Linked DNA regions of Canis lupus familiaris. The protein of the gene in region 1 interacts with the protein of each later gene in a pairwise test. Links are inferred from orthologs where the notes say so. Each region holds a gene or a part of one and is shown in the gene's direction. Other genes may lie near its edges. The genes, in order: UBE2D3, RFWD3, TRIM27, ZNRF1, TRIM17, AMFR and ZNRF2.

The links.
Region 2: the proteins of UBE2D3 (region 1) and RFWD3 interact in a two-hybrid assay, tested with the Homo sapiens proteins (2 studies listed by BioGRID and IntAct). The link is inferred for Canis lupus familiaris from reciprocal best matches to the Homo sapiens genes UBE2D3 and RFWD3.
Region 3: the proteins of UBE2D3 (region 1) and TRIM27 interact in a two-hybrid assay, tested with the Homo sapiens proteins (2 studies listed by BioGRID and IntAct). The link is inferred for Canis lupus familiaris from reciprocal best matches to the Homo sapiens genes UBE2D3 and TRIM27.
Region 4: the proteins of UBE2D3 (region 1) and ZNRF1 interact in binary tests that used the Homo sapiens proteins (3 or more experiments, as listed by UniProt). The link is inferred for Canis lupus familiaris from reciprocal best matches to the Homo sapiens genes UBE2D3 and ZNRF1.
Region 5: the proteins of UBE2D3 (region 1) and TRIM17 interact in a two-hybrid assay, tested with the Homo sapiens proteins (2 studies listed by BioGRID and IntAct). The link is inferred for Canis lupus familiaris from reciprocal best matches to the Homo sapiens genes UBE2D3 and TRIM17.
Region 6: the proteins of UBE2D3 (region 1) and AMFR interact in a two-hybrid assay, tested with the Homo sapiens proteins (2 studies listed by BioGRID and IntAct). The link is inferred for Canis lupus familiaris from reciprocal best matches to the Homo sapiens genes UBE2D3 and AMFR.
Region 7: the proteins of UBE2D3 (region 1) and ZNRF2 interact in a two-hybrid assay, tested with the Homo sapiens proteins (2 studies listed by BioGRID). The link is inferred for Canis lupus familiaris from reciprocal best matches to the Homo sapiens genes UBE2D3 and ZNRF2.

Annotation. Positions count from the first base shown.
Region 1 is NC_049253.1:15,659,539-15,663,594, forward strand, and holds the start of UBE2D3 (ubiquitin-conjugating enzyme E2 D3), read left to right. Parts: upstream 1-1,252; 5' UTR 1,253-1,415; exon of another isoform or gene 1,416-1,454; intron 1,455-1,564; exon of another isoform or gene 1,565-1,774; intron 1,775-1,782; exon of another isoform or gene 1,783-2,000; intron 2,001-2,715; 5' UTR 2,716-2,848; coding exon 2,849-2,872; intron 2,873-3,602; exon of another isoform or gene 3,603-3,999; intron 4,000-4,056. UniProt on the Homo sapiens protein: Accepts ubiquitin from the E1 complex and catalyzes its covalent attachment to other proteins. In vitro catalyzes 'Lys-11'-, as well as 'Lys-48'-linked polyubiquitination.
Region 2 is NC_049226.1:76,566,554-76,570,089, forward strand, and holds part of RFWD3 (E3 ubiquitin-protein ligase RFWD3), read left to right. Parts: intron 1-1,389; coding exon 1,390-1,566; intron 1,567-3,201; coding exon 3,202-3,416; intron 3,417-3,536. UniProt on the Homo sapiens protein: E3 ubiquitin-protein ligase required for the repair of DNA interstrand cross-links (ICL) in response to DNA damage. Plays a key role in RPA-mediated DNA damage signaling and repair.
Region 3 is NC_049256.1:27,401,747-27,405,282, reverse strand, and holds part of TRIM27 (zinc finger protein RFP), read left to right. Parts: intron 1-1,083; coding exon 1,084-1,314; intron 1,315-3,536. UniProt on the Homo sapiens protein: E3 ubiquitin-protein ligase that mediates ubiquitination of various substrates and thereby plays a role in diffent processes including proliferation, innate immunity, apoptosis, immune response or autophagy.
Region 4 is NC_049226.1:76,271,057-76,275,212, reverse strand, and holds the start of ZNRF1 (E3 ubiquitin-protein ligase ZNRF1), read left to right. Parts: upstream 1-1,332; 5' UTR 1,333-1,708; coding exon 1,709-2,132; intron 2,133-4,156. UniProt on the Homo sapiens protein: E3 ubiquitin-protein ligase that plays a role in different processes including cell differentiation, receptor recycling or regulation of inflammation. Mediates the ubiquitination of AKT1 and GLUL, thereby playing a role in neuron cells differentiation.
Region 5 is NC_049235.1:306,419-310,716, forward strand, and holds the start of TRIM17 (E3 ubiquitin-protein ligase TRIM17), read left to right. Parts: upstream 1-1,462; 5' UTR 1,463-1,937; coding exon 1,938-2,480; exon of another isoform or gene 2,481-2,954; coding exon 2,955-3,050; exon of another isoform or gene 3,051-3,484; coding exon 3,485-3,715; intron 3,716-3,833; exon of another isoform or gene 3,834-4,298. UniProt on the Homo sapiens protein: E3 ubiquitin ligase that plays important roles in the regulation of neuronal apoptosis, selective autophagy or cell proliferation.
Region 6 is NC_049223.1:59,049,362-59,052,897, forward strand, and holds part of AMFR (E3 ubiquitin-protein ligase AMFR), read left to right. Parts: intron 1-405; coding exon 406-558; intron 559-3,006; coding exon 3,007-3,047; intron 3,048-3,212; coding exon 3,213-3,345; intron 3,346-3,536. UniProt on the Homo sapiens protein: E3 ubiquitin-protein ligase that mediates the polyubiquitination of lysine and cysteine residues on target proteins, such as CD3D, CYP3A4, CFTR, INSIG1, SOAT2/ACAT2 and APOB for proteasomal degradation.
Region 7 is NC_049235.1:43,124,141-43,128,198, forward strand, and holds the start of ZNRF2 (E3 ubiquitin-protein ligase ZNRF2), read left to right. Parts: upstream 1-1,226; 5' UTR 1,227-1,241; coding exon 1,242-1,731; intron 1,732-4,058. UniProt on the Homo sapiens protein: E3 ubiquitin-protein ligase that plays a role in the establishment and maintenance of neuronal transmission and plasticity. Ubiquitinates the Na(+)/K(+) ATPase alpha-1 subunit/ATP1A1 and thereby influences its endocytosis and/or degradation.

The DNA of each region.
Region 1 (4,056 bases):
TTCTACTCAAGTAGACCGGTTAAATCAGAGAACAAAGATTATTCTAGGAGAAGGGAAACAGGCTATGTGATGAGCACTTTAGTACTCTGCTATTCACGGGGCTGTACTCTGACCAGAATCATCTGTACCACCTGGGAGTTTGTTAAAACTGTGAAATCTCATGCTCCACCAAGGCCTACTACATCAAAATCTACATTCTGAACAAAATCCTTAGCTGATTCACAGAGATACTAGCTTGAGCAGGGTTTCACCAATTGCTCGAGTGACACTCCTCCTGACCACGTAAGCGGTATACATTAGCCCATTCATCACAGACCTACTTTAGCTTTTATTAGGTAATACTTTATTGTAACCAGAAATTGCTGCTTTTCTTTTTTTTTTAAACTATATTTTAAAAACAAGTTAATTTTCCTCTTTGATTCTTTAAAATATCCACTTCGTTAAGTCAGGAAATGTTCGAAAACTTTAAGCAGGTCAGCGCTTACCTTTAATCCTTTTAAAAATTACTGTCGTACCACCCCTTTGCCTGAAGGATACCCTAGAGAGCCAAACCACCTTCTCCATTATTTTACACCCGGCAGATTAAACAGGCCAATTCTGCTCTTCCCTTTCTGCCCGCCCCCGGATGTTTCAGTTAAGTAATACGTTTTTCTGACCCAAAACTCTGATCTTTTGAGTTTTGCAACTCTGTGGACCTAGAAGTTGAAACACGGCAAGAGGAAGAAGGAGGTGTTAAGTCTCTTCCCGTACCTCAATCCTGGCGGATGGTGACAGGCAAATAGCCTGCCCCTATTTCCCTACCCTCCACGTTAATCCATAGTTGAATCTGATGCCTAGACGACTGCGACTGGGAGGGGCTCTAGGAGGCCCCCTTTCCTCAGTACGGACCCTCTAGGTCAGAAACGCGCTGTGTCTCGGCACGTGAGAGCGCTCATCAGCGGTCCGCTCGGTTCTATTTACAACGAGTGTTGCACTTTGAGGGGTGCCTCCTCCCCCTGGTTAACGAGCCCGCACGGGCAGGCGAGTGCGGATATATTGCTCACCTGCTCCACCGAAATCTCGGAAGGCCCGGATCAACCTGGACTAAAGGTACCCGGTGATTAGCCCGTGGCACCTCCCGCCGCACATTCCTGATTGGGCGCGTGAGGGACGGACGCGCCGGCGCGCGCTCCAACCCGTCCGGGGAATTCCAGTTCCCCTCCCTCCCACCAGCAGAAGCATCCAGGGGCGGTGCTTCCCGACGACGGCCCGCCCCTACTCCAGCCGGTGCCTATTGCATCTCGCGAGAACTTGTAGATTCGGGGGGCGGGCCCCCAACAGGAAGAGCTCACGCAACTGCCCTTAAGTCATTGCAGGGCTATCGCTCCGGCTAGCCAGCCACGAGGTTCTCGCGAGATCCGCCGCCTCAATACCAAGTGAGGAAACTGGGGGACGCTGCTGGGAGGGGCGTGGGTCTCGACCGCGCAGCTGCCGCTTCCATTACCTTCCTCCCATGGTCTCCTTCCGGTTCTCGATGCTTCTCTGAGTCTGAGGGTTTCCGCCGCTCGTCCACCCTCCCCCCCCCCCCAGCCCATGACCCGCCTCCGGCCCCCGCCCTCCCAGTCCAACCTCCGATCTGTTTAGTAAGAAGGTGCTGTTCCGAAAAGAAGGAAGAGGGGGTAGCACAGATCAACTCGGTCCCGGACGTAGGAAGTAAACCGTCCCCCCGTCCCCCTTCGCTTCGTCCTGTGCTCGCGACGGCGGCGTTGGCGGACTGATACGCGGCGGTGAAGAGGCAGGAGGAGGGGGGAGGGGCGGAGCGTGGCAGCTGGCAGTAGTTCCGTCAGAGCGGACATCTTGTGGCTGTGTCGTGCGCGTGAGCCCCGTAGGGCCGGGGAGGCACCAGCTGCCGCGCGGGGAGGAGGCCGAGGCCGCAGCTTGAGGGAGGCCCCGGCCCCTCTGTACGCGTGGGTGTGGACGGCTAGGGGAAGGGAAGGGAGGCCGGCCCCCTGGCCGGCCGGGTAAGAGGGGAGATCCGGGCCTCGGGTGGCTGGAGTGACCAGCCTGTTGGGTGGGGTAGGGTGGGAAGGCTGGGGAAGCCGGGGCCTCGCCTGCCCAAGGGGGTGGGGGAATGGGCGCGTCCTCGCGCCCGAGCCGGAGCCTCAGGGGCAGCTCGGGCGCGTGGTGGCGGTGGCGGGGCGGGCGCGTGCGGGAGCGCGCTGGAAGGCGGAGTGTACGGTGGCGTCAGGGCCGACAGAATAGCTCTGGCTGCGGGGACGGCAACCTACAGCAAGTCTCTTTATTATTTCCTTCTCCTTCCGGGCCGCACCTTTGAGCAGAAACCGAAAGAACCCCGGCGTCAGTCCGGAGCCTCCAGTCTTCCCCCTCCCCCCTAGCCTTTCTTCGCCCTAGTGACGCCGGCGCAGCGCCGACTAGGCCCCGGCTCCTCCTCTGCTGGGCTCCGGACCCTGCCCCGCACCCACCCCTTTCTCCTACGCCTCTTCCTCTCCCACCCGGGTCTCTTTCGAGAGGCCGGGAAGTCAAACTTGTAGCCGCCCCCTCCGCTCTTCCCGTCACCCTCGCCGCCTCTCCGGGCCGAAGCACGGCATAGAGGCTGTTGGTGGCTTTGCCACGCCACCCCACCCACCCCGGATCGCGACCGTTTTAAGGGACCTGGATTCATCAGGGTCTCTCCGGGGCCTGTGCGAGTGCTGATCTGCTCCGTTTTTGCAAAAGGCGCCTGTGTCTGGCAGAGCCGGTGTGAGACGAAGAGAGACAATCCTTCCCTGCCGCCCGGGTAATCAAGAGTTTTGGCCGGACCTTTGAGCACACACCGAGAGAGTGAGGAGCCAGACGAAAAGCACAGACTATGGCGCTGAAACGGATTAATAAGGTAACCCACGGGGCTGAAGGGAAGGGGGTCGTGGGAGGAAACGAAGGCTCGGTCTCGGAGGAAAGCGTGGGGGTGGGGAGGAAGTATAATTAGGAAAACGTCTTTCCTTGGGTCACTTCTGTGGGGGGGGGGGGGATGGGAAAGAAAGGAGGCTTAAAGCTAGAGAACAGAACACTTGTGGCGAATGAGCTGTTTATCTTGAGTATGTTTCAGTTGGAGTCGGCCCAAATGAGGGGTGGGGGAGAGTGATTTTAGGCGCTTGGGTTTTGCTGCTAAAAAGAGTTTTTTAGTCTTGTTTGAGGGTCAGAATTGCCCAGAGACGCTCCCGCAGATGTCATGGCGCTCCCTAGTCTCGGTGCTTGAGAACTTTGGCTGTAAGATCAAGGTTTTCGGGTTTTCTAGGGGGAAGAGTCGTAGGAAACTCCTAGGGGAGGTGATAGAAATCTGGCGGGTCCTGAACCTAATTGGGGGTCGGTGTAGAAGTCTCTTGGCGGCTGAAGAGTAGTGACTGAACCTAGTTAAACTTCATCGACTCTGAGCAGGTTACACAAGAATAAGTGGGGCTGGGAAGAGATGGGCTGACACGATGTTACCACTTCCTATGTTTTGTAGTTGAGACTTCTCACTCGAATTTATAAGAGGGACGCTGCGAACTGGTGTAAAAGGCTTCTGGAAGCTCCCTTCTTTTGACTGGGGGGTGGGGGGGTGGGCGGTACGGGTGTGATGGCAGTAAGGGAAGGTTTGGTGTACCTATCTTTGTCTCGGCTGATTTTATAACACTTTCGGAGATGATTGGCTACTTGAAACGTGGTTTGATAGAAACTATTGATAGATAGAAGTTGAAAGAAATACGTTTTTTCGAGCCTGGGGGGGGCGCCGGGTGAGCGGAACCTTCACCTCCGGTGGTTTAGTCTCATTTTCTTGCTCTAACTTCTATCCCGCATTTTAAGATGGCGGCTGCTTTAACTGGTTCAGGCTTTTTCCGGCATCTCCTTTCGTCATTATATGAAATAATATTCTTTGTTAAATGTTAACTTTTACATCAGATTGTACACAGCTCTTGAGACGTCCTGCTGAAGACTCGATGTTCAAACTCTCAAACTGCATTTCCCTTTTTTGTAACTTGTGTATGTGTGGTGTATTTGGTTCTTGCACAATCGAGGAGGGTGGAGTATTTACAGCTA
Region 2 (3,536 bases), on another chromosome or scaffold:
TAGATACAATAGGCTACAAAACAGTATATGCAATGCCCTGTTTCTTTAAAAATGATCTGTATCACAACATACATCTTAAGCCAGGCAGATGAGAGAAACACCCTAGAGATGGTTGAATGACAATATGGAGGGAGCCTTGGTACTGGGCACCACGAGGTTACCTACCAGCTTGGAACTGCTTATTCCTGGTCTGTTACTGGGATCCTCCTGCTAAACAAAAATACTCTCCAGGAGCTTACTGTCTTGAGGTGTCGTGATTTCTCTCTCATCAGTAACCCTCAGTTACTGTATTTTATCCTTCATGTGCCCTGCAACTGCTATGACCCAGATCTGAATGTGCTGAGTGCCTTCATCTTTTAGAAAGTAGTTCTGATCAGACATCTGATGGTTGGCTTCCTGTTCTGCAGTTAAATCTGAGGCACATCATGATATCACTATCAGGCCTGATAAGCCTTCTGACTTTTTAAGAATGCTTCAGCTTGGGACACCTTGGTGTCTCGGCGGTTGAGCTCCTGCCTTCAGCCCAGGGCGTGATCCTGGAGTCCCAGGATCGAGTTCCACATCGGGCTCCCTGCATGGAGCCTGTTTCTCTCTCTCTGCCTATGTCTCTGCCTCTCTGTGTGTGGGTGTCTCATGAATAAATAAATAAAATCTTTTTTTAAAAAATGCTTCAGCTTAGCCCCAAAACTCAATATAACATTGTTTTATATTTATGTATGTGTTGTGTTTTTTCCTAGTGGTGTTAAAAAATAGGTGAAAAAAGTGCAGGTTAAACACCAAAGTGACATTAATGACTACCTCTGGGTAGTTATGGGTAGTTAGTTTTGTTTTTCTTGTAGGTAAATTCTAATTTTTTAGCGTTGAATATTTTACCATTGAATACCTGTATTATAGATAATTATGGAGAATTGAGGTAGAGTGGGGAATGTGCTGTTTAAATACCTTTTTAACTTATTTTATTTTCCTTACATTTCAAGAGGAAAACTTACATCCCCCAAAACAAATAATTTGTAATTAAAAGGGGTTACTAGGCAATCCCTAGAGAAACTTAGAAATCCCAAAATAGTTTGGATGTGTGGGTATGTTCTTAAGATTATCATTGGGGGCATCAGGGTGGCTCAGTCAGTTGAGTGTCTACCTTTTGCTCAGGTCATGATCCCAGGGTTCTGGGATTGAGCCTCACATTCAGCTTGCTGCTCAGCAGGAAGTCTGCCTCTCCCTCTCCCTCTGACCTCCACTCCCCCCCCCCCTTTGTGCTCGCTCTCTCACTCTCTCAAATAAATATCATCTGTTTTTTTAAAAAGATTATCAGTGAAATGATAATTTTTATATCTTTTTATATATTTGATTTTCTTAATGCGTAATTGTAAAACTCCTATATCTCCACAGCCTAGAGACAAATACAGTGGTCCAGACATATAATGCAGGACGTCCTGTCTGGAGCTGCTGCTGGTGTCTTGATGAAAGTAATCATATCTATGCCGGTCTGGTCAATGGTTCGATTCTGCTGTATGACCTTCGAAACACGAGCTCTCATATCCAGGAGTTAGCACCCCAGAAAGCCAGGTAGGGAGCCACTTACTTTTCCCTGTAGGTAGCAGCTTTCTGTTGGATATGAATCCTCTCTTTTGAGAATGTTTACATTTGGTCAGAATTTCTCACAGAGGGCAGTTCTCTGAGTCCAGTGATGTCTTCTCATTTTGGACTCCCTAAGATCCTTTGTATGTGTTCATGATATTTCTACATGGTAGAAAGTCCTAGTACCAAGTACAGCCAGGTTCATACAGTCACTCATCACCCAACATGGCAAAATGAAGTCAGATCTGTGTTCAAAACCCAGTTCTACTGCATAGGAGCTGTGTGACCTTTGTCACGTTTCTTGGCTTGTTAGAGCTATTGCAGAGGAAGAGATCAGTAAAAGGCCTATAAAAAAAAATGATTTAAAACTTCCCTAACCTCCAGCTAAACAAACTTGGTCTAAAGATACCATGTTACTATGATTTATCATTTATAATCCAGTTACAGAATTGGGAGATTTTTAGAGTCAGCCCAAATTCTGAGGATGGGTGGCCACCTGCACCACTATGACTCTTCAGAATGTGTTGAGTACCATTTGGGTGTAATATTCTCTTAAAGGCATAAATTTCTCAAAAGGAGAAGTGGTGGAGTCTGACTTAGGCCAAAATGAGAAGTATCTTAAAAGAGAATTTCTATTTCCAATGTGAATATATTTTGAAAGGGGGGCAGGGGATCTAAACAGAAAGATACCACTATAGTAACGATACAGTAATTGGTTACTAAACCTAGGCTCAGCACTTTGGAGTCTTTTCATTTGGGTGGGGTAGACTCATGCTTCAGTTATGCGGGCCTGAAGACAACTGATGTAAACTTTTACAGATGTCAACTCCTAACAAACACGCTAACTGCCATTGATGTAGAGGGATCCAGACGGAGTAGGCAAGAACATGGAGCAAATAGCAAGGAAAGGGTATTTGTATGTAATGTTCATTTCTGCTTTAGTTTGCTTCATTGTGATAGGGCAATGAAAGAAAGCAGACCAAGTGACCCCTTTGGCAACTTCAGCAGAAGCAAAGTTCATAGGAATATAGTGGCAGGCTAATAACTTCTGAGAGAATTCTTGGCATACAGTTCTGGTCATATGCTTGCAGAAAGAGATTTAGAATATGTCTAAAGAAACAATCTTGTTTCTGAATTAAAATGTGGTTGCTTCAGGGACACCTGGCTGGCTCAGTTGGAAGAGCACATGACTTGATCTTCGAGGTCTTGAGTTGGAGCTCCATGTTGGGTGTGCAGATTACTTAAAAAGAAAAATGCAATTGCCTCAGGCTATATTTTAATTGAAGGATCTGTCAGCTACAGCTCTTTATTAGATGTGTGAGCTGCATTTCCTTTTTTTTTTTTTTTTTTTTTCCTGCGTTTCCTTTCTGACTTTACTTATGTCTGTGGCCAACCCCTTTACCAGAAGCTTCACACCAGTCAAGCTTCTTGGATTTATGATCTTGTACTGTTAGAGTAGGTTGGTAGTTTTGATCCAATGTCAAAGGATAGTGACCCACAGAAGGTCTTTATTTAACCTCTTCTGTAGAGGTAGGACTGCTCGGGGGCTCCTGACACGGGTCTGGAGTCTGGAATTGTACAAGTACTGGAATGTGAAACATAGTTTTCTTTCTTTCCCTCCAGATGCCCGCTGGTGTCCCTATCCTACATACCCAGAGCTGCCTCATCTGCATTTCCATATGGTGGGGTGTTGGCTGGAACTTTGGAGAACGCTTCCTTCTGGGAGCTAAAAATGGGCTTTTCTCATTGGCCTCATACGCTGCCCATGGAGCCAGGGGGCTATGTAGACTTTCAGACAGAGAGCAGCACACGGCACTGTCTTGTGACCTACAGGCCCGGTGAGTGTTAGGATGTCCTGGTCGGACTTTCTGTGGTTTGTCTGGGAGCACATTGGTTCAAGGGAGAGAGAGAGAGTTTGCCCTGCCCTTCAGATAGCACCAAGAAACCCCTCACAGACT
Region 3 (3,536 bases), on another chromosome or scaffold:
AATAGGTTTGTGTTCACTCCTCAGTGTGTTGCACAGAGAGTGCTTAGGAAGGTGGTGAGAAGAGTGGGTCATGGGAAAGGTTCTCAGGAAGAGTGGAGCTCAGGACAGGTGTCAACAAACATCTGTAAAGGGCCACATAGTCAGGATTTTTGACTCCGTGGGCCACTTAGTCTATGTCACAACTACTCAACTCTGTCGTGACAGCTGAAGGCAGCATAATATAATATGTGAATGATGGGTGTGGCTGGGCCCCAGGAAAACTTAATTCCCCAGGAGTAAACAAAGGGAGCTTGCTGACACTTTGTTTAGCAGAGAGCCTCAGGGTTTTGGCAGTGGGAGGTAGATAGAGAAGGAAGGGTAGACTAGTTTTGGCAAACATCTGTTCCAGAAGGGCACCACACCCATAGCCAATGAGGGTAGGTGATGAACAGCCCTGGTGGCCAGAAAGGGGGTGAGGGCCGCACGGGAAGGGCCTTGGTGACGTGGTTGCAGTCATGATGCGAGGATTGAGTGTCCTAGTCCACCCCACATGGCATATATCTGAACCCAGTCACTTCCCTTTCACGGCTCCTAGTTGCAGGAAAGTCTTGCCCCACCCTGGCCTTCCAGGCAAGGTGTGTTCTCTCTTACCTCTTCTGGCTTCTCCCTCAAAACTTAGGTGCTTTGCCAGACACCATCGTTCACCATCTCTCCCGTCGTTTCTTCTGCCAGGAAAGCGTGTCTACCCTTTGACCACATGGTGAACCCCTGTTTCTCCAACCACACTGTGTGTGTTACATTGCCTCTGTGAAGGCTGTACCAGCTTCTCCCACTGCAGGCCATCCTGTCCTCACTACCTGTGGTTGCATGTGTCATGTGAACCGGGCTCTCCTGTGACTATATTCCTTATTTCTGGGGTAACTCACTTCTCAGCCATTGTGTCTAGTCGGTAAAGCCTGAGACCAGGAGTGAATGAACAGGATGCTTGTTTTAGCATGCCGGGACAAGATGATGAGGTCTCAGGGTAGGTAGTCAGGGACAGACATGAAGGGCTCTAGAAGGGAGCCTTCTGTCCTTCAGTACCCTCCCCTGTCATCTACGCAGAGCCTGACCCAGATGGAGAGGGAGAAGATTGTCTGGGAGTTTGAGCAGCTCTATCACTCCTTGAAGGAACATGAGTATCGCCTCCTGGCCCGCCTTGAGGAGCTAGACTTGGCCATCTACAACAGCATCAACGGTGCCATCACCCAGTTCTCCTGCAACATCTCCCACTTGAGTAGCCTGATTGCCCAGCTAGAAGAGAAGCAGCAGCAGCCCACCAGGGAGCTCCTGCAGGTAAGGCATGGAGGTGTGGAGTGTCCCACCAACGTGGCTCCTGCCAAAAAGTCTCCCTTCCCTCTTTGCTAGGCAGTATGGAGCACCTCCCCCTCCCCGCCCCGGTCAACTCTAGGAGTAACAAGCCCTAGCTCAGCTCTCTGGGCTTGTCAGAGAGAAAACATGCATAACAGAAGTTCCAGTTGACACAACTTGGATCGGTCAGTTGCATTGTCTCACGGGAAGGGCAAGAGGAAGACCTAATGCCTAGGCCTGTCCTGTACCCACACGTGGTCTGATCACACTCTTGACCTCTCTGGGCCTCAGTGACCTGATCTACTCCTGGTGTAATGGGAGGTTCAGCCTACATGCCATTTAAAGATTTGAGTAAAGATACTCAGTGAAATGTCCTGTAATTTTAACATATATGTGTACATTAGCACAGCCACAAAACTGAGCACTGGAGCAGGTGGTTGGCCCAAGCGGTCCCTGTGATTTAAGCTGGGTGTAGTTACAAAGCTGCATTGACCTAACCTGGCAAGGCCACAGGAAATGTGCTGTTGTTCATTGAGTGCATATGAATTGTCTTTTCTGGGTCCGGCAGTATTCTGGGCACTGGGATTAAGTGGTGAAAAGCTGTCCTGAAATGTATATTCTAATGTCAGAGTCAGGTACTAAAGAGAACAGCAGGGATCCCTAGGTGGCGCAGCGGTTTGGCGCCTGCCTTCGGCCTAGGGCGCGATCCTGGAGACCCGGGATCGAATCCCACGTCGGGCTCCCGGTGCATGGAGCCTGCTTCTCCCTCTGCCTGTGTCTCTGCCTCTCTCTCTCTCTCTGTGACTATCATAAATAAATAAAAAAAAAAAATAAAAAAAAAAAAAATAAAGAGAACAGTGGGTGTAATGGGTGTTCATAAATGCCATTAAAAGGGATGATGGCATAGGGCACAGGTCAGCAAACCACTCCACCACCTGTTTTTGTATGTCCTTCAGGCTAAGTGGTTTTTACAGTTTGGGAGGGGTTTTTTTTTGTTTGTTTTTTAATAGGAAGAGTGGAGGAAGAGGGGAAGAGAGAATTTTTTTTAAAGATGTTATTTATTCATTCATTCACTCACGAGAGTGAGAGAGAGAGGGAGAAGCAGGTGCATCGCAGGGAGCCCGATGCGGGACTCGATTGCCAGACTGGGATCACACCTTGAGCCGAAGGCTGAGGCTCAACTGCTGAGCCACCCAGGTGTCCTGGGAAGAGAGAACCTTAAGTAGGCTTTATACTCAGTGCAGAAACTATTGTGGGACTTAGTCTCATGACCCGGAGATCATGACCTGAGCCAAAATCAAGAGTCAGACACTTCACCAACTTAGCCACCCAAGGCCCCCTGGTTTTTACAGTTTTAAACGTTTGGAGAAAATCTGAAGATTTTATTTCATGGTATATGAAATTCTATAAAACTCAAACTTTGTTGTCTGCATTTTATTGGCACTTAGCCACTTGGATTCCTGTACATACTGTGTGCATTGTTACTTTCCCACTGCCACAGCAGAGCAGAGTTAAAAACCCAAAATATGTACTATTTGGCTTTTCAGAAAAAGTTTGTTGAGTCCTGCTTTAGACTAATAAGAAGGCCTAGCCTTGAGCCTTAATGACCACCAGTATTTAATTGCCAGGGAGGAAAGGAGGAGTTTGCAAAGTGAACACTTGATCAGAGAAGCAGAAAGTGACCAGGAAGGAGGAGTGGACAGCAGAGTCTCATGCAGTTAAGGGCTGACACGCATTTGGTTTAAAGCCACGGGCATTGCTAATGCCCTCAGAGAGAAGTGCCACAGTAAACACTTAACACTTCCCTAAGGAACCATCCTAGGGACAGTGGTGACTGGCAGGGTGTGTGACCACTGTAGGAATGGGTGTCTGGGTTAAGGGGTAAGACCATAAGGAGAGGTGGGGATTGTGGGACTTTGTGGGAAGGGATGCTTAAAGAAACAAACTAAACATATTGTCAGAGATCATGTGGGAGGAGAGTCTGTTGTAAGGATCTGGGTGAGGAAAGTCATTGAAGCTGTAAAATTAATGAACTTATCACTAATGTCTGTGTCAGAAAAGATGGAAGGGAAAGGGGACTAAGCACATGTATAGGATGTAGTTTTGGAAGATCTTTGGGAAGAGAGGAGGGTGGGGGGGAGGTGGGGATGCAGGCAGGTTGAGGTTTGGTAGCAAAAACATGGTAGCTTTTATTGTCTTGACGTGGG
Region 4 (4,156 bases), on another chromosome or scaffold:
TGACTGTAGCCATCATAGTCGGCATGAAGTGGCTCTTCTGAAGCTTTGTGAGAACCAGGACTCTGTGACAGATCAGCTCTTCTTTTTTCTTGGGGGGGGGGGGCTTCTTTTACTCTCTCTCTCTATACCTTGTTTTGACTCCTCGATGTGGAAAGGACGTTCAGAGCAAGGAAGTCAGACCAGGGACTGGGTGATGCTCATAGCCAGCCACCACCCAGCACTTGAAAAAATAGTTGAATGAATGAGTGGATGGACGGACACGAATTTGGGAGAAAGGCATATTGCAAAGTGCAGACTTGTCCGACAAATACTTGTTGAGTACCTACTGTGTCCCACTATGGTGCATGTTGGAATAAGAGGTAAACGAAAACGGGGATTCGCCCTGGACTAGGGAGTTTCTAAGATCGCCAGTTGTAGTTGTGTCTACATCTCCGCACTTTCTATCACACGCCTCATGATTTTTCAGGATCCCATTTTAGCTAAGGACTCTACCCTTAGGAAGGAAGGGTAGATCTACTCAGCAACATCCGGGGTCACAAGTGCCCCAGGGCGCTGCGTACCCCCCAAACCAGCTAAGAATCCCCCAAACGCCAGGCTTCCTGAGCTTAGGGGTTCCTGGTTGGGAAAGCTCCGCGAGAACGGACAGCACGTCCACCAGAGGGTGCTGTGGGGGCAAATTCGTGCGGGGAGGGAGGCTTGACCGGTGACCCTCAGAGCCAGGTAGGCGTCCCGAGCAATTTTCATTCTTCCCTGCGGTTCCTTCCCAGCGCTTTGAACCGTGTCCGCCCCTCCTCCCGTAGGTGGTTCCCCCTCAACAATCAGCCATCTGGGGGGCCGTAACGAGTGCTGGCCTTGAAAAGCCGCCTGGCTCCTGCTCCCGACGGCCGGCGGCTCGGGCCACGCGGGTCACAGGCCGGTCGCGGGGGGGGCGGGCGGGCGGGCGGGCGCGGGGACCTCCCGGCGGCAGGGCCCGGCGCCGCAGGGGCCGCGAAGGGGTTAACCCGGCGGGGGGGAGGGGAGGGGGCGCGGGCCGCGCCTGCGCTCTGCCGCCCTCCATTGTCTCCACGGCGGCGAGGAGCGCCGGCGAGCGCAGCCCGGGACCGAGCGGGGCGGAGCGGCTGGCGGGGCCGGCGGCGGCTGGAGCGAGAGCGCGACGCGACGCGCCCGCGGCTTCCCGAGCTCCGCCTGGCCGCCCAGCGCCGCAGCCCGCCCGCGGCCTGGAGGGGTCCGGGCCGGCGTCCATGGTCGCGGCGTCCTGAGGCGGGGGCGGCGCGCGGCGCCCCCAGCCCTCCTCCGCCTCCCCCTGTCCGGCGGGCGGCCTCCTCCGGCGCCTCCCTGCGCCCGCCCGCCGCCTCCCTCCTCCTTCCCTGCGGCTCCCCGGGCTTTCGGGAGCCCGGGGGCGGCCTGTGGCGCGCCGAGCCCGCTCCGGACTGCGCCTCTTTGGACCTTGAGGGGAAACATGCGTTTGGCTTGGATCGTTTTGAATTCTTAGTTTGGGATCCCCGCCCGCCTGCCTCTTCCGCCCCGCGGGGGTTTCTTTTCTTTTTTCTTTTTTTCTTTTTTCCCCCGTGTTTTTTTTTTTCCCCCCCCTCCCGGTCTCCTTTTTGACTCCCTCCCCCTTTATGCTCGCCCAGCCCTGCCCCCGCTGCTGAGAAGTGGGGGAGGGTCTCGGCCTCCAGGTTCCCGCCCCACCGGGGCCCGGGCGAGCATGGGGGGCAAGCAGAGCACGGCGGCCCGCTCCCGGGGCCCCTTTCCGGGGGTCTCCACCGATGACAGCGCCGTGCCCCCGCCGGGAGGGGCGCCCCACTTTGGGCACTACCGGGCGGGCGGCGGGGCCATGGGGCTGCGCAGCCGCTCGGTCAGCTCGGTGGCGGGCATGGGCATGGACCCCAGCACGGCCGGGGGGGTGCCCTTTGGCCTCTACACCCCCGCCTCCCGGGGCACCGGCGACTCGGAGAGGGCGCCCGGCGGCGGAGGGTCTGCGTCCGACTCCACCTATGCCCATGGCAATGGTTACCAGGAGACCGGCGGCGGTCACCATAGAGACGGGATGCTGTACCTGGGCTCCCGAGCCTCGCTGGCGGATGCTCTACCTCTGCACATCGCACCCAGGTGGTTCAGCTCGCACAGTGGTGAGTCCGCGGGCGGTGGAGGCCTCGGAGGGTGGAGTGCAAGGGAGGGCGCGCCGGGGCGCCCCAAACCTTCGCGCGCTTGCGAACATTTGGATGTGGAGTGCGCGACCTGGGTCTGTCTGCCTTTCCTTTGGTTCCTGGGGGATGAATGGGCTGTCTACCCTGTAGAGAAGAGGCTTCCTGCGAGGCTGCGGAGCCGGGCGTTCTAGGACTCCAGGCGTCGGTTCACTTGTGGATGAGCAGAGCGAAACCTGCCCATTGAAGTCCCATTTATCAGGCATCGCCGGCCTCAGAGAGGAGGTCTCCTCTGGGTTAGAGCAAGTCGGCCTTGATGCTTCCTTTCTGTCACTGCAGCATTGTGCCTGCCTAACCGTTAACAGAGAGAGGGATCCAGTTTGACCAAGCAGTTGTCTCCCAAACAAAAGAGTGTGAAAAGAAAGAAAATTGGGGCCAAGTGTTGGATGGATTAGGGCTCGCACTTTTGCTGGGAGGAGGGGTTGCCCAGTTTTGCCACCCTGCTGGAGATGTGTTTGAATTGTTTAAAATGGAGCAGCCGGAAGGCTGCTGCCATAGACAGGTGTGGCCTGCCGAACGGAGGGCCTAGCCAGGGAGCCTCCCTCTGAGGCTTTGCAGGACCAGGGCTCTGGTGGCGGGTGCTGCATGCAGTAGGTTTGGCTCCATGACTCTCACATCCCTCCATCTTTTTTCTTCCCCTCCATGCTAAGTGCTGGGTCTTCCTCCTAATCTGTGTCTTTTTTGTAATGGGAGGTGGGACTTTATTGCCTGGCTCCTGGTACATAACAGGGGGAAGAAGATTCAAAGAATCCGGATGCATTCATTTTGTGAACTTCTGATGACAGGCCAGCAAAAAGCTGGAGGAGGATTTCCCAGGCCCCGACTGGCAGGGCAGAAAAGGCACTGGCAGGAGCTTTTGGAGGAAAACAGGTCTGTCTGCTCAGCTAACCTGAGAAGCCAGGTTAGGCTTCTAGAAAATTGGTCAAAAGGGGTGTGGGGCCACTATTTGTTAATTGGCAAGTTGGAGTGAAGAAGTTAGCATATTCAGACTTCTTTGGGAGAGTTAAGAAGATCTAGATATTGTGTAGAAAGAAGAAAGGTTGCCTTATGGAGGATGTATTTGTTGGATCACTGTTCTGGCTATTGTGAAATAGGGTAGACTTTTTGAATCTTTTTTTTTTTCTTTTTTTTTTAAATTTCTGGAAATGGTCTGGTTTTTGTTTCGATTCTATAAACTTTAATTTGTGAAATAAATTTTTGAGGGGGAAATAGTGACTAATTTGGGGTAACACTTGAAAGTGGATTTTGAATCGCTAAAGTGGTATTTTATTTTATTTTAATTATTTTTAAGATTTTATTTATTCATTTACGAGAGACACACAGAAAGAGAGGCAGAGACGCAGGCAGAGGGAGAAGCGGGCTCCCTGCAGGAAGCCCAAAGCGGGACTCGATCCCGGGATACCGGGATCGTGCTCCGAGCCAAAGGCAGATGCTCAACCACTGAGCCACCTGGGTGTCCCTAAAGTGGTGTTTTTAATTCCAAAACAGATCTCTAGATATCATCGGAGCTTCCTTGATCTGCATCAGTCTTTGCCCTAAATGAGATGCAAGGTGTGGCTGCTTTGGGCACTTTTAGACATTTGATCATTTTTAGACATCTTGAAATTAAAAATCTTACTCATAAAATTTGGTCCAGAAAATACAGCTAGCTGTATTTGTGAGATGACTATGATTAACATTTATTTATTTATTTATTTATGTTTAAGATTTTATTTATTTATTCATGACAGACACAGAACGAGAGAGAGAGAGAGAGAGAGAGAGAGAGGCAGAGACACAGGCAGAGGGAGAAACAGGCTCCATTCTGGGAGCCCGACGTTGGACTTGATCCCAGGTCTCCAGGATCACACCCTGGGCCCAAAGGCAGCGCTAAACCGCTGAGCTACCTGGGCTGCCCTGTGATTAACTTTTTTTTTTTTTTAATTTTTATTTATTTATGATAGTCACAG
Region 5 (4,298 bases), on another chromosome or scaffold:
CCGGCTCCACTCTCCACCCTCCTCCCCATGCTAACCACCATTAAAGCCACACCATAGACGTGGGCCGCCTGCAGGCAGGGCTGAGAAGCCCCTCACCTCCCACAATGGGGCACCCCCATACCTCCCCCCACCCCATGGTCCCCCTTCACCTCCCCCACAGAGACTCCTTCACTTCCAGCAACCGGGCAACCCCTCCTGCCTTCCCCCAGTGACCCCCCTCACTGCCCCCCCAGACACCCCTTCACCTCCCCCAACCGGGCTCCCACACCTGCTCTCTCTTCTGCTCCCCTCTCTTCCCCACAAGAAATCTACCTCCTGCCCCACGGCTCACAACCCCCTCCCCATCCACTCTCTACCATACCTTCTCCCCCTCCCCGCGGGGACGGCCAGAGCCCCCTCCGTCCCTCCCACCCCTGGCCCACTCTGCGCTGGCCCCCCCTCCGCCCCCACCCTCAGGCTGCTGGCCCCCCCAGCCCTCTCCACCCCATCTTCAGCCCACAACCCGGAACTAGCCTCCCCCGCCCCTGCCCTTTGACCGCCCCCGCCCCTGCTGACGCCACAAAGCCCTGCACCCTCCGCGGCCCCTGCGCCCCCGCAGCCGTCACCCAGATGGCGTTCAGCACACAGACGCAGGCTTTCTGGGGGTGCCGGGGGCGCGCGTGGCTGGGGGCACCCGGCAAGGTGCGGCCTGCGGCCCCTCCCTGTGAGTACATCCCCATAGACCCGCGGGGCAGCAGGTGGCCACCCAGTGGGCGGGGAGGCTCAGGTCCAACCGCCTGCCCTGCTACCCGGGGAGCAGATCCCGCGTTGAAGCTGGTTATAGACACGTAGCCCCCCTCCCAGTCTACAAAGGAGCATTCCCGCAAGCAGGGCAGCCAGTCATCTCCACTGGCCCCAGTTGCTGCCCCCGGATTCTGAGCCAGACCCCAGTTCACCAGACTGCCCCCCTTCCCCGGCTTCTGCAGGTAGGCAGCCCCCCCCCTTCCTGTGGCTGAGAGCCAAGGGAGAGACTGACTACAAAGTCTCTGCAGAGACAGCACCAGAGAAATGGAACCCTTGTCAGGGAATGGGATGCCTAAGGTCACAACATGAGGTCAGGGGTAAATCCACCCGAACTATGTGTGTGCACGTGTAGGTGCCTCTGTGCATGTGTATATGTTTGTGTGTGTGCGCATGTGTGCCTCTGGGCATGTGTGTGCACATGTGTGTATATATTGTGTGCACATGTATAGTGTTTGTGCACATGCGTATACTGTGTATATGTGTGTGTACTGTGTGCATATGTGTATATTGTATGTGTATATCATGTGCACATGTGTATATCAGGTGCACGTGTGTATACTATGTGTGCACATGTGTGTATACTGTGTGCGCATGTGTGTATATATACTGTGTCTGTGCATGTGCATATACTGTGTCCGTGCCTGTGTGTATACTATATGTGCATCTGTGTGTACTGCATGTGTATCCTGTGTGTGCGTGTGCTGTGTTCATGTGTGTATACTGTGTACATGTGTGTGTACTGTGTGCACGTGTGCTGTGTGTGAGCATGTGTGTGTATACTATGTCTGTGCATGTGTGCATGTGCCTCAACGTGTAGGCCTGCAGCTGCACTTGTGCTTGTCTGTATGCTCTGTGCACATGTGCAGGCACGTTGTCCAGGACCAGAGCCGCTCCATAGTTGGAACAGGAGACACAGATTTATTCAGGGTTATTGCCATTCAGGGAGAGGGATCCCGCAGAACCGGCTCGCAGGATGGGGTGGGGGACTTAAGGCTAAAGAGCAGAGGGGGTGGTCAGCCATGGAAAATCACTAAGAGGGGACATAGGGAGGGGGATTCTTTCCAGACTGGCCTAAAGGCTTCTAGACAGGGCAGCGGGGACCTGAGGAGCTAGATCTGACGTCATGGGGGGGCACTCTCAGCCAACTTGGCACGATGATCCCCCCTAAAGTAGCGGGGCTGGCCAAAGACAGGGCTTGGCCGTGGAGAGCCCAGGGCTCCCGGGCAGAGGGTGTGAGGGGCGTTCTTTCTGTTCCTGCCCCAGGAGACATGGATGCCTTGGAACTCGCCAGAAAGCTGCAGGAGGAAGCCACCTGCTCCATCTGCCTTGACTACTTCACGGACCCCGTGATGACCGCCTGTGGCCACAACTTCTGCCGGGAGTGCATCCGCCTAATGTGGGAGAAGGCCAAAAGTAGGAAGGGGGGCAGGAAGCGGAGGGGCTCCTTCCCCTGCCCCGAGTGTCGCGAGCTGTCCCCCCAGAGGAACTTGCGGCCCAACCGCCTGCTGACCAAGGTGGCGGAGATGGCACGCCAGCACCCGGCCTTCCAGAGCAGGGACCTGTGCAAGGCGCACCAGGAGCTCCTCAAGCTCTTCTGTGAGGACGACCAGAGCCCCATCTGTGTCATGTGCAGGGAGTCGCGGGAGCACCGGCCCCACACGGTGGTCCCCATCGAGGAGGCTGTGCAGGAGTACAAGGTGCGGCCGGGGCCGGGGATGGACGGCCGGAGGTGGGGGGGGCACAAGGAGGCCAGGCACAAGCCTCAGCAGACAGGTCGGGGGGGCGACTGCCGGCACCCACGGCCCTCGTGTCTGCACCCTCCATGGTGATGCAGTGGTTGGGCCACAGTTGTTGAGGGGTCCCAGCCAGCCAGGGCTCCGGCGCCACTGGGGGAGAGCTCATCCTTTTCCCTGTCTTCACTCGAAGGGAGGGGCGAGGGGCCCTGTCCCGGGGGCCCACCCTCATGATTTCATGGCCCCCCAAGAGGCCCTAGCTCCTCCCTCCGAGGTGCTGGGGTTAGGACTCAGCCACAACCTTGGGAGGATACATGCAAACCACAGCACAGAGTAGATACAGGGACAGTTACGCAGAAGGGTGTTAGCAGGTGCATCTGTTGGCCAGGCTAGGGGGGGGCCTCAGACCCCACATCCTGTGGTCTGTGTGCCCCACAGCTGAAGTTGGAGGCGGACATTGGGTCCCTTCGGGAGGAGATGATGAAGACAAGAGAGATGCAGGCCAGGGAGAAACAGACCTTGGCGGAGTGGCAGGCAGGTGCCGGTGGCCAGGGTGGGAGAGCCTGCAGAAGGCCCTCAGGGGGCGGGGACTTGCTGTCCTGTGTGGATAAGCGTGTGCGCACATGCACACACACACACGCACACACACAGAGCCCAGATTCCCACCAGAAGCAGGATCCAGAATGTGTGCTCAGCCCAGGCTGGCTGTGTCCAGACACAGTGGATGAGGGTGCACAGGTGCCGGCACACTGCTGTTTGGGGCTCAGCAGGTCACCCCACAGAAATGCTTGCACTCCTGCCTGGGTGGCTCCTTTTCTGTGGGTCACCAGGGCCCTGCAGTGGGGGCACTGCCAGCATTCAAGCTGGTGGGTGCAGCCGGCCAGAGAGATGGGGGACACTGGGGCAGCAGATCCCCAGGCCAGGGCCTGAGCACACCTCTGCCCACTGCCCTCCACGGGACCCTGCAGGAGAAGGTAAAGGAGCAGAGGCAGCGCATCCTGATGGAGTTTGAGAAGATGGGCCTCCTCCTGGTGGAGGAGGAGCAGCGCCTCCTCCAGGCCCTGAAGGAGGAGGAGGACGAGGTAGTGGCCAAGTTACGGGAGAGCTCCGCAGCACTTGAGAAGCAGGGCCACGCCCTGGAGATGCTCCTGCTGCAGTTGGAAGACAAGAACCAGCACACACCGCTACAGATGCTGCAGGTGAAGCAGGTGCCCCTGCTCACCTGGGAGGAGGCCTCGACACCCCTGCTCACCTGGGGGGGAGGGGAGGAGCTCAGCACCCTGCTCACCTGGGAGGGGCCTCAGCACCCCTGCTCACCTGGCTGGTGGGGGAGGAGCTCAGGCGCAGGTGTGGTCAGGGTGGGCCAACTGCAGGAACTGATTCAAACAAGGGAAGCTCGGACTCCAGTCAGCTGAGGCTGCGTAGGGAAGACCGCCTCCTTGTAGACGAGGCCCTAACAACAGACTTTATTGTCTCCGGGTCCCAGAGGCTGAGAGTCTGTGCTCCGGGCGTGGGCAGCGCTGGTTCCTCCTGAGGCCTCCCTCCCTGGGCGTGTACATGGCCATTTGCTCCCCATGTCCTCACCTGGCCATTTCTCTGTGTGTCTGCATCCTAAACTCCTCTTGCCTCAAGGACACGGATCCTACGGGATTGGGCCCACCTTAGTGACCTCACTGTACTGTAACTACCTCTCACCTACTGAGGTCCTGGGGGTGGGGACTCCGGCGATGACTCTGGAGGGACAGTCCACCTATGACAGGCTCCAGGCCTGTGCAGCCCAGG
Region 6 (3,536 bases), on another chromosome or scaffold:
GGGGGGAGTCCGATGGAGAAAGAAACACATAAGGACATGATGCAGTCTGGAGTGCTAGCCAATGTTGAGAGAATTACATACCTTTGGAAAACTGCTTGGAGAGAGACTTATCATTCCACTAGTAGGAAGATCCTTGAGAATTTGAGATGAAAATAATAACATATGTTATGTTCCGTAAATTAAGCAGTAGAAATCTCTCAATATTCGCTCATGCTCACGTTTAAGTTGGGTGGAGAATTTTGACCATCCAGTAATGGGGTGCTTTTCTGTGCTTGGTGTTTGGTGGTGCTGCTAAGCCCGAGTTCCTGAGCAGAGACTCCCAAACACTAACATTGCATTTCTCAGGGAAGCTTAATACCACAGTGAAGAAGGATGAGCTTCTTTCCTCTCTATTGTGCATTTCAGCTGTCGTTTTCTCCCACCACACCCATGAGTAGCCACGGGCGGGTTCTGTCTCTGTTGATCGCGATGCTGCTTTCTTGCTGTGGATTAGCAGTGGTCTGCTGTGTCACTGGCTACACGCACGGGATGCACACGCTGGCTTTCATGGCGGCGGAGGTAAGTGGATGCAGGTGTTGTCCCCATCTACTCCTGTGTGTTTTCAAGCCCCCTGCACGGTGACTGAGGGTCTTTTGTCTTAATGAGCATATCTTGAATTCCTTGCTTTTGTGTTGGGTACTGATATTGAAGGGAGAAATGTATGATTTCCTGTAATCTTTGCTACAACTTAATAAAAAGTATTAAGTTTTGCTGACATTTATATAGTGCTTTACTGTATGCTGGGGATTGCTCTAAATACCTTATGTGTGTTGACTCATTTTATTATTTCTCTTTATAAATGGGGAAAACTAGTGTAGAGGGTGCAGTGAATGATTTGAAGTTTCAGAGTCAGCAGTGGCACAATTCAAGCCCTGTGACTCCCAATTCCTCCTAAGATATAATGAAGACTGATTGGTGGTGATGAATAAGGAAATATTTTATAATTGGGTTATTTAAGGAGTACCTGGCTGGCTTGGTCGGTGGAATATGGGACTCGCAATCTCAGGGTGATGAGTTCAAGCCCCATGTTGGGTTGGAGCCTTCTAGGAAAAAAATACACACACACTTAATATGTAGATATGTGTGAGAATTTGAGATGAAAATAATAACGTACGTTATGTTCCGTAAATTAATTGGGATTTTAAATGGGATATAAATTAAGATTTTATAGAATAATATATATAAACTTCTTTGTTTTGGAAGAACAATCATATTCATGTACATTTTAAATTTACTCTTTAAAACTTTCTGAAAATAATCATTTTTGTTCAGTAGAAATAAAATTTTTTATATGTCCTTCTATTCAGTTGCTATGTTTGCTTTCTCCCTCAGGCCAAAGGCAAAATATCTCTTTGCCTACTATTAATTACTCCTATTAATTAAAAATTAATAGTAATTGCTACTATTAAAGAAAAAGATGAAATAATAAATTATTAAAGCTAATTAGCTAATATCAAAACACTAAGTTTGAACTACTTTTTGGGTATTTGTTAGAATAGGATTAAAATTTATTGGGGTACCTGGCTGGGTCATTTGGTGGAGTGACTTTTGATCTGGGTGTTGTGAGTTTGAGAACCACATGGGTAAGAATTTATTTAAAAAAATTTTTTTTAAAGTTTTATTTTGCTTAATAGAATTGATTTCAGAATACAATGTAGTGTAACAAATTAGGAAAGGGATGTTTAGGTACTTAGTAAATCATTTACAATTCTAGATAAATACTTTGTGTATGTTCCTCTTGAAAAAAAAATCTGTGTAAAAATGTTTTTGCATTGATTTATGTTACTTTGCTTTACATATATTTTATAATCACCATTTGCGTGATAGTCTGATATTCGTACTATTTTACTTTTAATTAATTTTAACCCAAACTTTGGGAAAGGTATACCTAAAAATAAAGACATTTAAATTAGGCTTTTTTGGATCATACTATAGTATATAATTTTAGCTCATTACTATTGACTTAAGATAATTTATCATGTTATAGTTTCTATATTTTGAACTTAATCATATTTTAAAATTTATACTGTTTCTCTATGTAAAATGTTTTCCATTTATAAACTGGAATTTCCAAATCTCAAACAATATAATAGTTCTATTCTGGTAGTTTAAGAGGAAATTTTCTTACAATCAATTTCTGTAATATCAAATACTATGAAGAGCTTATTTTATTTTTTATTTCCTTCATTCTTTTTGCTTTTGTGTGGGCAAAGGGGGTGTACAAAACGTTATGTAGAGAGCAGGTACTCATCTTGGATTGTGGTACCTAAACTATACTTTGGGTATAGGATCACCAAGTATTCAAACACCCTTTGAGGTAATCAGTGATGATGACTTCCTGCTGTATAAAATAGAAGTGATTGTCATACTACTAGAATGAGCCTCAGGATTGTAGGAGGCAGCCCCAGGAGATGGACGGGTATAATCGATTGTCACCTATTGACAGGAAAAGGCTCAATGAAAGTTGGTTTCTAGGTCATGAAAATATTTCATGGAAATTTGAAGTGGATAAAAAAAATAGTTGGTAAACTTGAACAACCTGCTTTTTTTATTTCAGTTTTGTTCAGATATAATTGACTTACACCATTGACTTTTAAGGTGTACAGCCTAATGGTTAACTGACATAGATTGTGAAGTGATTATCACCGTAAGTTTCCTTAACAGCCATCATTTCATTATAGATACAGAAAAAGAAAGAGAAGGGTTTTTTCTTTGTGATGAGAAGGATTACCCTCTCTACAACTTTCAGAAGTACCACAGCAGTGTTAACCGCACTCATTATGTTGGAGATGACATCCCTACTCCTTAATTATCTTGCAACTGAAGTTTTTACCTTCTGACCACATTCGTCCCATCCATCCCCCCCCCCCCCCCCGGGAATAACCAGTGCTGTAATTGAACTGACAAATGTTTGCTTTTTATATTTCCAAATTTTACTAAAGAAAAAATACATCTTTCTTTATATAGTCTCTTCTTGTGACAGTGAGGACTGCTCACGTGATTTTACGGTGAGTAGAACTTTGGGAGGGAGGCGATTGAGGTCTACCCATACAGTTGATTTTAAGATGTAACATGTATAAAATCTATAAAAATGTGGCTATACTGCATCATGTTTAAGCCAAATTAAATTGTAACAGTAAGTTACTAAAATGATTTTTCTCTGTTCACTGCAGATATGTAATTCACCTCTGGGACCTCAACCATGAAGGGACTTGGGAAGGAAAAGGAACCTATGTCTATTACACAGATTTTGTCATGGAGCTCACTCTCTTGTCCCTGGACCTCATGCACCATATTCATATGTTGGTAAGCTTCCTCAGAAGGAGCTCTAACTGAGCTAAGTGTTTTAGAATCAGGAACTCTGGTTAGTACATGTAAATGAAACATTTGTGGAAACTACATAAAGACTGTTGAAACAAACGCAGCCATGCCCCTCTGTCTTTCTGCCACTGGATATAAAGCAGTGGTGCACTTGGGCTGGAGCCTAGCTCAAGGCT
Region 7 (4,058 bases), on another chromosome or scaffold:
TTTTTGCTGTTCTTAGTTTTTTATCATCAACATCGCTGAGCTTCTGTTTTATTTAAAAGACACGCTCTGAGTAACACGGATGAGGGGGTTACCCCCTCCCCAAACACCCCTCCCCCCGCAAACCGAAGGCTCAGGACCCAGGAGACAGACCCTTCCCAACCCCCCAGCAGGGAAGACGACAAGTTGGGAGACGCGGTCTCATCCAGGGTCCCAGGGCCACGTGCGAGGGGAGGGGCCGCCTTCTGGTTGGCGCCCCGGGGGGCTCCGTCCGTCCAATCGGCTTCGGCCCCGCGGTGGCGGAGGGGGCGGGGCCAACGGCCCGTCCGTCACCGAGCCCACGGGCCGCAGCACCTACCACACCGCTGTACCTTGGCGGGGGCGGGGCGGGCAGGCCGCGGCCGCGGGGGGGGGGGCGGGGCCGGGGGGCGGGGCCGGGCCGGCGGAAGCCAATCCGCGGGGCGGCGCGAGGGGGCGGGGGTGGGGCCGCCCGCCCGCCCGCGACCCAAACACCGAGTCCGGGTGCACTTTGGAGCCGCGCTGCTCCTCGGCCTTCCGGTGCGAGCCGGGGCGCCTCCTCCCCTGCCGGGCGCCCACAGCCCCCACCCCCGGGGCCCTCAGCCCCCCGCCCCCCGCGCCCCTCCTTCGCCGCGGGGAGCGCGGCGACGGTTGCCGGGAAGCGCGCGCCGCCCCTCCCTCCCCTCCCCTCCTCCGTCCTCCCCTCACGCGCCGCCCGTTTTTTTTTTTTTCCTCTTTCCTCCGTTAATACCAGCTGGGTGGCTGGGGGAGGAGGGAAGGTGGCCCCGGCGGAGTCTGGGCGGGCGCCTCCCCCTCAGCCGCGAGCCGCCGCCGTGTGAGCCGGAGGATGGCGGCGGTGGCTGCGGCCGCCCGGGAGGAGGCGGTACCGAGGCCCGGAGCGCAGAGCGCGGCGACGGCGGCAGAGAGCGGCAGCGGCCCGTCGCGGCGCCTCAGAACCGAAACCGGCGGCCGCCGCAGCGCCACCTGAGCCGGCCGCGGCGCGACCTCCTTCCTGCCCTCGCCTCCCCCCGCGGCCTCCGGCGGGCCGCCCCCGCCCCCGCCCCCGCCCCCGCCCCCGCCCCGCGAGCCCCGGAGCGCGCCGGGCGCCGACCGCCCTTCGGGGCTCCGGGCGGCGGCCCTGGACGTGCGGGCTGGTGGCAGCGCCGGCCGCGGCGCCTCGGCCCTGCCCGCTCGCTCCCGCCCTCCCGGCCCGGGGCAGGGCGGACATGGGCGCCAAGCAGAGCGGCCCGGCCGCCGCTAACGGCCGCACCCGCGCCTACTCGGGCTCGGATCTACCTTCCAGCAGCGGCGGAGGGACCAACGGGACGGCGGGCGGCGGCGTTGGCGGCGTTGGCGTTGGCGGCGTTGGCGGCGGCGCGCGGGCCGCGGCGAGGTTTCCGGCTCAGGTGCCGGGCGCGCACCAGCCCAGCGGCTCGGGCGGCGCGGCGGCGGCCTCGGCGGCCCCGCGCAGCCGCTCCCTCGGCGGGGCCGTGGGGAGCGTGGCGGCGGCGGCCCGCGCGGCGCAGTCGTCCTTCAGCATCCCCAACAGCAGCAGCGGCCCGTACGGCTCGCAGGACTCGGTGCACAGCAGCCCCGAGGACGGCGGCGGCGGCGGCGGCGGCGGCGGCAGGGACCGGCCGGCGGGCGGGGGCCCCGGCGGGCCGCGCCTGGTGATCGGCTCCTTACCGGCTCACCTCTCGCCGCACATGTTCGGAGGTACGCCCGGCTCTCCGCGCCTCTCCCTGCACGTGGGCAGCACCTCAGCGCGCGGCCCGGCTCGCCCAGCGCTCTGGGAGGAGGAGGGCGGGGGGGGGGGGTGCGTGGAGGGAGTGCGTGGGGGGGGGGGCGGGGGTCGCCGCGTAGCCCCGGCCGCGCCGCCCCCTCCCTGGGCGTCGGTTGCGCGACCCGGGGGTGCCCAGACGGGAAGCCCTGCGTTCCCCGCCCCCCCCCCCCCCCCCCCCCGGGGTGAATGGAGCAAAGGTTGTTTCTCCAGCAAACCGCTGCGCCAGCCCTCGTGCTTTTGTAGCTCTGAGGATCAGGAAGTCGGGAGAAGACCGGCTGGTTGCCTAACGTAGTTCTTTCTAACTGGGGACACGAGCGGTGAGCTTTTTTTTTTTTAAAAAAAAAAAGAAAAAAAAAAAAAAAAAAAGGCCGAGAGTCCGAGCGGGTCGAAGGAACGTAGGAGTATCTGAGGAAGGAGGGAGTCCGAGTGTTCACGTACAGCCGTAGCCCCGCAGCCTCTGTAAACAGCCCCACCTACCGCGGACGGCTGCATCGGCCGCGCGTGCGGTGGGAGACGTGTTGGACCCCGGCCGGCGGCTGCTCTGGGTAACGGCGAACGCGAGCTCCGATTCATTTGGACCGGGGCGTTTTAAAAATTGGAAGCAGTTTGTCAAAGAGAAGCCCGATGACCAGAACTCCGCCTAAAAGACGCGGTGAAAAGCATAGGCGCTTTTACTGGAAAGCAGTGCTGACTAGGAGTCGAGGAAAAGTCACTTTGTGGTAACTGGAAATTTTCAACGGCAAAACGATGAGCTTCTGTGTGGAAACAGGAAGGGTGCACTTGATCAGAGGAAACTGAATTCGGCCTCACGAGTCCTGCTCTATAGTGATTTACTCTGCCTTAAAAACGGTTAGCATCGTAAACGAATCAAGACACCCCCCCCCCCCCTTCCCAGTTGGTGAGAAGAAATTGAAGTTTGATCTGGTCGGGGGTGCTGACTACAGTAGTAGAGAAACATCCCCATATCATTGCATTATGTGCTGTGATCTTACATAAATTCACAAGTGAGCACAGCCCGAACAGTGAGAAAGGCATTCCCTCCATTTTTGTAGCCCCCTTTTCCCCCCACAGAGGTGAGAAATTTGAGTTGGTCAAGTGGAATGTTCAGTAATTTATCTGTTCTCATGTTCTGTACTTTCAATATTCATGTTAGCAAATTGAAAATGGGAATGTCAGGTTTCGTTTTTTTCATGTCATTTATGCTGCCTTGCACATTCAATCAAGAACAACTCTTGAATTACTTGTTATAATTTTGCTATGAAAATAGTAATATCGACACTCCTAAAATTGCGCCATTAAAAACCATCTTTAATTTTTGAGATAAAGAACTGGTGTTGTTCTTACTGTGATTGGAGCATAATTAATGCAGTTGAAGGTTAGTTTGATCTTAACACAGCTGTAGTCAGTCACTACACTGAGGAATAACAAAAGACAGTTTCTTGAGAATGGAAGATTAGTGCAAGAATAAAAGATAAGCTGGTTTTTAAAAATATCTTTTTAAAGTGAAAATTTGCTTTTAGCAGTTATGATCATCAAAAGGTATATTTAAAAGCTTGTTAAAGGAATAAGAAAGCTTGTCAAATTATTATCTTATTTCTTTAATATACTGATTACTGTATTTTTCCTAATTGGCTGATAATTACCCTTAACAAAGAGTTAGTATATCTGTAAGGATTTATTTTCTGAAAATAAATACCTTCCATTCAGAGTGGGGGGTGGGGTGGGCAAATAGTTGATATTCCTGCTATTCATAGTAAGTTAGCAAATGAAAAAGACCTAGTTCATAAAAGTAGAAGTAAAGTAAATTTATCCTTTTTTTAAAAATTTAAGTTCCTAGTTTTGTGCACTTAGTTCTTTTTGTACTTTCAGGGTTAGGATGATTGGAGCTAATAGTACAGTGACACTGTAGAACTTGTGGCAGCCTTTCCTAACCAGGTCTCTGTAGAGAATAGAGCCCTTAATGTCCTAAGACATCTATTGTATGCAGCTAATTAACTTTTTTTCTCCTTTGCATTTAGAATGATTCTAGGTATGTGTCATTCTTCTGAAATTTGAGAAAACAGTCAGATACTCTGTTTGGTAGTTGAGATGAGGAACTCCAGTTGAGAGAGCCTGGAAGGGGTTCAGAGAAATTACCTATTCCCATTGTATGATAAGAACAAATCAATGTGCAGGTACCTTAAATCCTAGTTGACACAGGGAGATGGAATACTCTTATGTAAAAACGCATCTTCCTACAGGCATATGCTTTCATGAGATT